Ovis aries: one gene and its partners. The protein of the gene in region 1 purifies or fractionates together with the protein of each later gene. This does not show direct contact. Links are inferred from orthologs where the notes say so. Each region holds a gene or a part of one and is shown in the gene's direction. Other genes may lie near its edges. The genes, in order: PLN, ATP2A2 and ATP2A1.

Region 1 (4,183 bases):
GAATCAGACCAATCATTTACCTGGGAGGAGAAAAAAACAGGGGGAATACGGGCAAGATCATGTAACTATTTAGGTATACGTTAGTAGCCCAATTTGAGGGGACTCTCTTGGTGGTACAGTGGTTAAGACTTCGCCTTTCAAATCAAGGGGTGTGGGTTTGATCCCTGGTTGGGGAAACTAAGATCCCACATGCCTTGTGGCCAAAACACCAAAACATAAAACAGAAGCAATACTGTAACAAAGTCAATAAAGATTTTCTAAATGGTCCACATTAAAATCATGTTTTTAAAGATGTGGCTTTTCTTTAGGTCATAAATTTAGAGGTACTTATTTTTTTAACTATTAAAATATAATTAAAACTAATGAAACTAGTAATTACATAAATACAAGCAGGCTTTGCAATGTTAAGAGTATATAAAACACCATGAATTATTATGAATCAAATGAGCACTGTAAATAAAATTTAAAAAAAATTTATACAGACATTCAATTTAGGAAGGATAGGCTTATACTTCAACATTCCCTCACTCTTACTCTACAAATATATTTACACCATTTTTAAATGACACGAAAGTTATTTTCTCAATGCTGTACTCTTATCCCCCATCTCTCCCAATTATTTTCTTCCCCCACAATGAGCTTTAAAAGTTATGTTGCTTTTTTTTTAAACTGCCTATAAGATTTCTGCAGAATCATTCAGTACCACCAAGCAATCTTTCCTGGTTCCTCCGTTATTAATTCACTCATCCAATCATCCATTCAATCAGTATCTAAGAACTGCTATGAGCAAGGTGCTATACTAGGTAATAATACTATAAGGAATAAAGAGGATATAAACATGAGTTATTGGATCAGCGGAGCTTGCAATTTACTTGGGCAGATACATTTCTAAACACAATAAAATGAGATAGGTAATAATAGGGGTACATGCAGAAGTGTTTCATAAGAAAGAGAGGGCTGCACAGAAAATGTAAATTGAAACAGCACTTTAACGGGGACACAGGTTAGTAAGGAGGGCATTCCTACAAGAAGTGAGGAGGCTTAAAATAGAACAATAGCTTGTTCAAATAGCTGCAGGCAGCTGTACAGGGCCAGGGCACAGGATACAAAGGAATGTGATAAGAGACGAGCTGGAAAAGCAGGACCTAAAAAAGCAAACTAGGAGATCTGGGTTTTAGCCTGTCAGTGTTCTTTCCAAAAAGGGCTGCCCCATACAAAGACAGAAACCGCCTCCAACACAGGACTTCTTAATTTTCTGTGCCATGGACTTTTTCTGGCAGATGGCTGAAGCTGGCTGATCTGTTTTTATGTTTTTATATCTTAAAATACACAGGATATCAAGTAATTTTTATAGACACTCCACTCCTAAGGTAGGGAAGCATAACTGTGGGCTGTGTACAGTAACTTTCTTCTGGAAAGTAAAAGAAGGAAGGAGAGGGAAAAGAGTAACTTTACCATGGAGAAACTTGACGAATGCTTCACTCCAGCCAGGTGGTCCAGGTTAACAACACTGGTAAGTCATGCTGATAGGTATGTACACTTGGTATGTGGTGAAAACGGTACTCTACCTCTCTGATCTTCCTCTCAAAAACACATCAACCGGCCTCACCATGAGAAAGACAGCAGACAAGTCCCAACTGTGGACGTCCTGTAAGAAACTCTCACAGCCAAGGGGACCAAAGGACACGAGACTACTAAACGTAATCTGGTGTCCTGGACAAAATCCTAGAAAAGGAAAGGAACACCAGGGAAAACTGAAAAAACGGGTTTTGCTTAAAATAAAGTATCATCATTGGTACAACTGTTGTGATAAATGTACCATACTTGTGTAGGATATGTCAACAACAGAGGAAACCAAGTGTTGGGCATACAAGAGCCCTCTATACTATAGTAAGTAAGTAAGTAAGTGTTAGTTGCTCAGTCGTGCCCGACTCTTTGCAACCCCATGGACTGCAAGCCCACCAGGCTCCTCTGTCCGTTTATTTGTACTAATTCTGTAAATTTAGAACTGTTTTAAAATAAAAGTTGAAAAAATGAGAAACATACATTAGAAAAGAAATTACACCAAAATACATATTTAAAAAAAAACAAATTTATGTTGTAATATTTCTGCTTTATTTCCTTTTTTCTTTTCTGTCCTTCTTTATTAATGCATTAAATAATAATATTTACAGGCAGCTTAACTGCATAATTTCAAGTGATATGAATATGAACAGTATTTCAAGCTATATGCTGCAACTGTTCTATATGAAATTATCTAAGACGGCTATAGTGACAGTAAACATACAACTGAGGAAAGGCTGACTCTCATTTAGAGTTCAGTAAAAATAAAGATCTTTAACATTTTTCCTATCCAAGTTCAAAGGGCACTGGACTCTACCCCTGGGCTGTAAGAATCATCTTCAAAAGGAAAATAAGTACTAACACTAAATGGACACTGTGCTGCAAGATCTCTAAGTCATTATATACATATTTCATCTTAGGAAAATCCTCGCAACAAACCCATCCCACAGATAAGGCAGCTTAAAGAAGCCTGAATAAGGTCATATATACCAAAAATGGATTCAGACTATAGTCTGACTCCAAATGAAGATTCTGACAAAGCACCTCTAAAAACACTTTCTAGACCTTCATGGTGGAATTTCTGAGGAAATAGCTACTGATTATTCTGTAGTTCACCAAAGCTCCTAGTATACAACTTTCTGTTTAGGCAATTAGCCTAAAAGGAAGATGTAACACTTCCTAGAGCTCCGTTTAGACTAACAATGATGATCAGCAACAGCAGCTAAACCAAAGGAAAACGGCAGACACAAAAGCTCCCCACTCTTGCACAAATCTAAAAAGTAGACTTTTATCTCCTCTTTCCAACTCTAAACACATACACTTTGTTAATATCCTTCTGGGTATACATATGTGTTTTGTGTGTGTGTGTGTGTGTGTGTGTGTGCGCGCGCACGTGTTTCAACCTACATAGGCTTTTTGAGCAAATCTGCCAACATGTGAAATATCTAGGCCATATTTTATTCAGTCTGTGCTAGCTTCTTACTTTATACAAGTATTACTAATACTATTTTCTTAGAACTAGAGGTGCTCATACTGCAATGATCCATCCTCTAAGGTTCATTTTCAAATGAATGTGTAGGCAAACTTAAAGCAGACTTGCTAAAAATAGTTTGTTTTTAATAATTCATCTGTTTCCATCTTATAATTTCTTAGTTGATGAACCCTACTCTCTGAAATGCATATCCATGTTACACTATAGCTTCCCCCTCTAACATGCCAACCTGCCAGAGAATTACAACTAAGAGGTCCAAATCTGAACCGTCAGTCTGTCACTTAGCAGCTATGTCATATTTGACAAATTACTATAAATCACATCAGGGTTGTATTTCAAGTCCCTAGGTTTTGAATGTTGGTAATCACTAGCAATTGATAATAATCAGACATCCTTATTATGTAAAGATTGAAAGAAAAAATGCTTGAATAGTATACTGAGCAAAATGTCAAACGTCCATGCAATTTACTTAATTTTGGCTTTTCCTTTTAAGCTGTAAAATTTTCCCTTAGCAATGTTCACAGAGGGCCTTTGCTGAACATTATTTCTCTGATAGTTTTAGCTGATTCTTTAAATAACAAGAGATTTGTTTTAGCAAAGGATTTATCTTTCTTTGGAAGAAGCCAAAATCATCTCCATTTAAGGACACATAAGCAGCTGCTGCAAAAGATTTTAGTTACCCATAAGAAAGTGAAGCAGGCTGAGTTCACTTTGCTGTAAGCATTTTAGAAATTAAAAATAACAAGTAGCTTCTCCAGAATTACAGTCGAGATTTAAGAATCAGAACTTGGAGGAGTGGTGATTTTAAGTTAATCTAATATATAAACAAAAAATATTGGGGGGGAAAAAAAACCAAACAAATAGGAAAACGAGCCTGGTTTGTCAAAGGAATTCTTTTCAGTTCTCAGAAGTTCGAAAGATCATTTACTAAAATTTCATTTACATAGTAAATTTCAGGAAAACAACTACTGCATTAACTGAGGCACACCATTTTAGAAATACTACTTAAATTTCCAGACACATGCCCATCTACCGTCAATAAAGTAGCATTAACTAGTACGCCACTGATCAGTTATGTGGGATTACATCTTTTTGGCTAGAAAGTTACTCCTGATACTGTCAGCTTAC
Region 2 (3,653 bases), on another chromosome or scaffold:
AGAGAACACCCCTCCAGCAGAAGCTGGATGAGTTTGGGGAGCAGCTATCCAAAGTCATCTCCCTTATATGCATTGCAGTCTGGATCATAAACATTGGGCACTTCAATGACCCAGTTCATGGAGGCTCCTGGATCAGAGGTGCTATATACTACTTTAAGATTGCAGTAGCCCTGGCTGTGGCAGCCATTCCTGAAGGTCTGCCTGCTGTCATCACCACCTGCCTGGCTCTTGGAACGCGCAGAATGGCAAAGAAAAATGCCATTGTTCGAAGCCTCCCTTCTGTGGAAACCCTTGGTTGTACTTCTGTTATCTGCTCAGACAAGACAGGTACACTGACAACGAACCAGATGTCAGTCTGCAGGGTAAGTGGAAGTAGTTTAAGAATCTTTTCTGAGTTATGGTTGTTGATTGATCATCAGAATATGCCCTCATATCATTAAAAGCTTTATTGTTTTGTTAAATTTTGTTTTTAATGTAGTTGACAATGATTTGTTGGTTTCAGGTGTACAGCATAGTGATTCAGAGATATATGTGTATATTCTTCTAGATTCCTTTCCATCGTAGCTTATTAAAAAATACTGAGTATGGTTCCCTGTGCTGTACAGTGGGTCCTTGCTGGTATGCAATAGTGTATATATGTTAGTCTCAAACTCTTAATTTTAACCATTCCCTTTCTCCTTTGGTAACCATAAGTTTCTTTTCTAGTCTGTGGGTCTACTTTTATTTTGTAAATGAGTTAATTTGTATCTTTTTTTTTTTTTGGTTCCACATGCAAGTGGTATCACATTTGTTTTTGTCTTACTTAATTTACTTAGTATGATCTCTAGGTCTATCCATGTTGCTGCAAGTGGCATTTTTTTCTTTTTTAAAGCAATTATTATAGTATAGTTGATTTATAGTGTTGCTAGTTTCAGGTGTACACAAAATGAATCAGTTATACATATACATAACATGCTCACTCTTTAAAAGATTCTTTTCCCATATAGGGCATTACAAGAGTATTGATCTGTTTTCTATATAATGGTGTGTATATTGTCAATCCTAATCATCTTCTTTATCCAGTCATCTATCAATAGACAATTACTTGCTTCCATGTCTTAACTGATGTAAATAGTGCTGCTGTGAACATTGGGGTGCGTGTATCTTTTCAAATTAGTTTTCATAATTTCTGGATATATGCCCAGAAGTGGGATTGCTGGATCATAAAACTTTTGGTTTATAATTTGATACCTTTTTATGTGCTTTAAGCAAATTGAATTTTATCTGATAGAAGTTATCTACATGAGTGATACACTTGTATTGGGGAAGTAACTATAAGCAGTCTGTAAATGTATTAGATGACTATGCTTCCTTTATTTCCTTGTTCTTCTAAGTGTATGTATGTTAATACAAGCTTCAAAGTAAGAATTGTATAAAACCAGCTAGTTATCTGCCTACATAAAATTCTAATTGGTATTTCCTTAACACATTGAATGAAACATGTTTTTCTTCTTGAAAAGTAAATAATTGAGTTTAACTTGATTCATTTTGTGTTCATCCTTCCTTCCTCCTATGTTGTTTTGACTATCACTTTAGGATAAAATAAACTGTTTAAACCTGCCCTAAGCAGAATAAAGAAATAATGTAATGATACAGCTGAATGAAGTTCTTTCATGTAATTTGATTTCCGTAGGTTTTATTCAAACAACTTTGAGGTAGAAGGATGAGAAAAACAGTATAAACTTCTAGTTACCAAATAAGTGTGTCATGGGTATGAAATGTACAGTGCAGGACAGTCAGTAATAATGTATCTATGTATGGTGGCAGATGATAACTAGACTTAACGATGATCATTTTGAAATGTATAGGAATATCCCATCATTACCCCATGTACCAGGAAGTAATAACATTGTGTAGGTCAATTAAACTTCAACAACAAACAGAAAAAGAGCAAATTTGTGGTTATCAGTCTGGAGGATGAGAAATTAGATGAAGGTGAACAAAAGGTACAAACTTCCAGTTAAATATTAGGGGATGTTGTGCACAACATAAGTATAGTCAGCACTCAGTTCAGTTCAGTTGCTCAGTCGTGTCCAACTCTTTGTGACCCATGAATCGCAGCACGCCAGGCCTCCCTGTCCATCACCATCTCTGCTGTACCTTATATGTGAAAGTTGTTAAGAGAGTAAATCTTCAGAATTCTCATCACAAGGAAACAATTTTTTCTTATTTTGTATCTATATTAGAAGATGTATATTCACTAACTGATAATCATTTCATGATGATTGTAAGTCAAATCATTTGTACAAGTCAAAGTGATTTTTCAAAAGAGATACAACTCATAAATGTTGAATGAAATTCATGTCGAAGATTCTGTTTGGGTCATTAGTTCAATGAGAGAAAATCAGTAAGATGGTAAAACTGGTTACAGGAACATGTGAGGAAGTGCTTAGTATTAGAATAGGACTAGTGTGTGTTACATTATAAAAACTGGTTAATATCACACAGAGAAATAAAACTAAGTTCATCTTTTATAGAGGACAGAAAGCCGCAACTTCGTAAAACATGAGTCTTTTATAATAGCAGAGTGAAAGAATGGGAACATTTTCCAGCGCACTGAGTCTTTAAATGCCTGCTAAGTAACGCTTCTGAATGACATTGGAGGGCACGCCATCAGCCCCTTGGCCTTATCTCTGGGTTTTAGATAATGGGTTTTTTAGCATTAGAAATTGTTCTTGTTTTAATACATTGAACCCTCAGACTCTTTACTTACTGAATTTAAATTTGTGGTAATTTTTTGATATACGTACCCTCAGCTCTTTGTGTTGTCCAAAACCCAGATCCTGATAGCTCAGTTGGTAAAGAAAAATGGACGGGTGTCCAGGTGGCAAGCTTCTAACTTAAGTAGATGCAGATTGTAACTGAGCTTCCTAAATTTTCTTTCCTTGGTCCCCCAAAATGTTGGATTTTTTTTCTTATATTTTCCCTTAAATAATCTGATTTCAAATGTTCTGTTAAAGAAACAGCTTGCCTCTTTGTTCTGTTCTACCTTTGGGGACAGAAAGCTGATGCTAATCAGTATTCTACAGGAGGTTTCTTGCAGTAGGTTGCATAACTGCCCTTGACTTAGGGGTACTTTCATCATGCAGTTTCTAAATGGCTTACTGGCTTGCAGTCTAAAAATGCCTGTGTGCATTCAGATTTAGTTTGTGTGGGTTAGAATTCTGAATGTCTTAGAATATTTTGTACTGTGGTATAGACCAAAGAGCTTCACTTTATAAACAGCGTCATTAAAGAAGTGACATGGTGTAGTCATAATGATGCCAGCTTGCTTTAATAAGTCTTAGTGCAGTTAATTTTTCACATGTGACTTTGTCTGAATTACATGGTAATACTGCTCAAGAGGTTAGAAAACTTAGGCTCTGAGAAATTGTGCCATGGCTGAGGGTCCCACAACTTTTAATAGTAAGGTAAAGTTCAGTTTCCTGATAGGAGAGATCGGTAAAACCTGTTTCTCTCTCCCACTTAATAATTGTGTAACCTTGAGCACATCCTTTAACCTCTCTATTCCTTTTTTTCCTCTTCTGTAAATGTCAGACATTTTTGGAAAGAGCTTTCTGCCAAAATTCCTTTTTTAGATGTTGTATCTGCTAGGGAAAAAAAACTGTAGGAAT
Region 3 (3,653 bases), on another chromosome or scaffold:
AGGCCAGCTGGGCTGGCTCAGGGTGATTGCCTGAGCTCCTGCCCTTCCGGTGAGGGAGAAAAGGTCCCCAGGGTGGGGGCCTCTCCCTTCCACGAAAGCGCTCTCCAATTGAGAGCGCACTTCCACGTACATCTGCTTATTAGATTTTCACCAAGACTGTGTTCTGAAATGTACACGTCATTGTCCCTGTTTCACAGAAGAGCAAACCGAGGTTAAGTCATCCAAAGCCATGCAGCTTGTGAGTAGTCAGGCAGGGATTGGGGTCAAGGCCTTTTTTCTCTAAGGGCAATGAGTTTCCCATCTGCCTCCAGGGGCTTCTTTTCAGAGTCCAGACTTCCTCCAGGATTGTTGCTTGGTCCTTCCTAGGCTGAGAAGAGAGAGAGTTAGGGGCGGGAAGTCTGAGAGGACATGACGTCATCTGAAAACCCCTCCGGCCCTTCTCCGCAGGCGAGTCTGTCTCTGTCATCAAGCACACAGAACCTGTTCCCGACCCCCGAGCTGTCAACCAGGATAAGAAGAACATGCTTTTCTCGGTGAGCCCTTCAGGGCCAGCTGTCCTGTGCTCTAGCCAGGGGGCCCTGGTCTGGGAGAGATGTGACGGCAAGGGAAGAGATGAGGCCCACAGCTGAGGGGGTGAGCTGCAGCACGAGGGGCGTTGTCTGACTCCCTGCCTCTTCTTTCCCTTCCCAGGGCACCAACATCGCAGCCGGCAAGGCCATCGGCATTGTGGCCACCACAGGTGTCAACACCGAGATTGGGAAGATCCGTGACCAAATGGCTGCCACAGAGCAGGACAAGACCCCTCTGCAGCAAAAGCTGGATGAGTTTGGGGAGCAGCTCTCCAAGGTCATCTCCCTCATCTGCGTGGCCGTCTGGCTCATCAACATCGGCCACTTCAATGACCCCGTACATGGGGGCTCCTGGATTCGTGGTGCCATCTACTACTTTAAGATCGCCGTGGCCCTGGCTGTAGCTGCCATCCCCGAGGGTAGGGCGACATCTCTGTCTCCTCCCGTTTGCTCCTCTCATCTGCAAAGACCTTTCATCCGAATAAGATAACATTTACCAGTCCCAAGGATTAGGCCCCGATATCTTTGGGGGCTGCTCTTCAGCCAGGTGGCACAGCTGTTAAAAGAATCTCTCTGCCAGTGGAGGAGACGTGATGAGACGTGGGTTCAATCTCTGGGTCAGGAAGATCCCCCTGGAGAAAGAAATGGCAACCTGCTCCAATATTCTTGCCTGGGAAATTGCATGGACAGAGGCCTGGTGGGCTTCACAGTCCACAGGGTCCCAAAGAGTTGTATACGACTGAGCACGCGTGCATGCACACACACATGCGCACGCATGCACACGCGCACACACACACACACACGGCTCTCCCTCTGTCCCCCAGTTTAGTTCCCTCACCCCCTCTTTTACCCCACAGGCCTTCCTGCAGTCATCACCACCTGCCTGGCCTTGGGCACCCGCCGGATGGCAAAGAAGAACGCGATCGTGAGGAGCCTGCCCTCCGTGGAGACTCTGGGCTGCACCTCTGTCATCTGTTCCGACAAGACGGGCACCCTCACCACCAACCAGATGTCTGTCTGCAAGGTCAGGGCAGGGTGGCAACTTCCACTCAGATGGGAGGTGAAATGGTGGGGTGACTCCTTCATCACGGGCCTGAGAAAGAAATGCTCAGAGGGCACAGGGCGCCATCCTGCCAGCTATGAGAGGGAGCAGAGAAGCCCATGTGTCCTGGGCAGACAGCTCTCTTGGCCCCCATCCATGTGCCAGACACTGCCGTGTGTTATCTCTAATCCCCCACAGCTGCCCCAGCAGGGGAGGGTTTTGTTACCTAGTTTTCCAGAGGAGGAAACTGAGGCTCTGGGAAATTCCATGCACAGTTAATAAGGAGCAGAACTGAGTTTCAGACCCAAGTCTATCTGGCCCTGGAGTACCTGCCTGTGCACCAGACTACCCTCCAGAGTGGTCCTGTGTGACGGGGCAGGAGGAACCTGGTCACATGAATCCCAAATGGCATTTCCTAAACCAGGGCCCTTGATCTTGGGCCTTGGACCCTTTAGCCGTCTGGACCTCTACATTTAATATTTTCAGTGTATAAAATAAAACACACAAGATCCTGTTTTTAAAATACACTGGATTGGGAACTCCTGCCGGTCTGATGGTCAGGGCTTGATGCTTTCGCTGCCATGGCCCAGCTTCCATCCCTGGTCGGGCAGCTAAGATCCTGTCAAGCCAGGCAGCGCAGGCAAAAACAGAAATAAAATGCACTGGATTACAGAGGAAACCACTGATTGAAACACAGCAATCAAAATATTTTAAATCGTGATTTGATAACACATATGCTTCTTTAATAATGTATTAAGTAGCAAGTCCAGCAGTAGTTCTCATAAGCGCCGTAACGCTGAGGCAGGGATGAGTATAAATGCTATTTTGAGAGCCCTGAAACAATGCAACGTGATAGGAGAGTGTTTATGATTTTATTGGTGGCCAAGTCACAGGTTTTGCTAATGCTAACGTGGTGCATTGCCCACATTCATAACTGGACGGAAATGCTAAATATCAGAGAAAAAATGGAACGTAATTTTAAATTTTTTAATTCATTTTTAATTGAAGGATAATTGCTTTAACAGTATTGTGTTGGTTTCTGCCAAACATTAACATGAATCAGCCATAGGTATATCTGGAAAAGATGTTAGTTTTGTTTTGCCATCAAAGTTCACAGATCCCTTGGTCTGTGGGGTCATCCATGGACCTGAGGCAAAGAACCCCTGACCTAAACACAATTCTCTAGACTAGCATGTCTGTGAAATAGAAATTACTGTCCTAAGAATCAAGGCCTCTCAGACCAGGCACAGAAAGGCTGTACTATAGGCCTGCTGGCATTTGAAAGCCTCGGAGAAGGCTGACCATAGAGAGGATGGATTTCCCTCTATTTAACCCAGATTTTCCCAGACTTTGCTGGCCGCAGAACCACTTTATCTTGGAACGTGTCTTAAGCCCCATCCCTTCCACACTTGCTCTGGTTCAGGGTGGGCTTCTCGCCTCTGTGCTGCGTGACCTACATTCCCTCCAAAGCACAGGCATCAAAGCCAGGCCACTGGGCTCCTGTCATGTTTCATAAAAATGAACTCATTGCCCCCATTTGAAAAGTTAAGAGATTTCATAGAAAAATAACCTGAGTTTCTAGTTCTTCCTGCAAAACTGGAAGATCTCGCTGCAAGAGGCTGGAGCTGTAGATGGGTCACGTGCTGACACGTGGACCGGTGGCTGCAGTCCCCAGAACATCTTGTGATGCACCTCTTATTTTACCAATTGATCTGGAGGGACCTTCAGTGTGACCGGCAATAACCTTAAAAAAATAATAATTTTATTTATTTATTGGCTGTGCTGGGTCTCTAGTTGTGCGAACTTTTCCCTTGTTGTGGTGAGCAGGGTCTACTCACTCATTGCAGTGTGCAGGCTTCTCCTTGTGGTGGCTTCTCTTGTTGCTGAGCTTGGGCTCCATGGCATGTGGGCTCAGCAGCTGTGGCTCCCAGGCTCTAGAACACAGCTCGACAGTAGTGGCACACGGGCTTGGTTGCTCCGTAGCATGTGGGATCTTCCTGGATCAGGGATCGAACCTGTGTCTCCTGCATTAGCAGGCGGCT

Evidence for each region.
Region 2: the proteins of PLN (region 1) and ATP2A2 purify together in Homo sapiens (affinity purification with western blotting; 4 studies listed by BioGRID). This does not show direct contact. The link is inferred for Ovis aries from reciprocal best matches to the Homo sapiens genes PLN and ATP2A2.
Region 3: the proteins of PLN (region 1) and ATP2A1 purify together in Homo sapiens (affinity purification with western blotting, with the first as the bait; 3 studies listed by BioGRID). This does not show direct contact. The link is inferred for Ovis aries from reciprocal best matches to the Homo sapiens genes PLN and ATP2A1.

What each region holds. Positions count from the first base shown.
Region 1 is NC_056061.1:19,658,736-19,662,918, reverse strand, and holds the start of PLN (cardiac phospholamban), read left to right. Parts: upstream 1-1,278; 5' UTR 1,279-1,513; intron 1,514-4,183. UniProt on the Homo sapiens protein: Reversibly inhibits the activity of ATP2A2/SERCA2 in cardiac sarcoplasmic reticulum by decreasing the apparent affinity of the ATPase for Ca(2+).
Region 2 is NC_056070.1:54,282,291-54,285,943, forward strand, and holds part of ATP2A2 (sarcoplasmic/endoplasmic reticulum calcium ATPase 2), read left to right. Parts: coding exon 1-362; exon of another isoform or gene 363-3,653.
Region 3 is NC_056077.1:26,449,525-26,453,177, reverse strand, and holds part of ATP2A1 (sarcoplasmic/endoplasmic reticulum calcium ATPase 1), read left to right. Parts: intron 1-447; coding exon 448-533; intron 534-690; coding exon 691-988; intron 989-1,426; coding exon 1,427-1,593; intron 1,594-3,653. UniProt on the Homo sapiens protein: Key regulator of striated muscle performance by acting as the major Ca(2+) ATPase responsible for the reuptake of cytosolic Ca(2+) into the sarcoplasmic reticulum.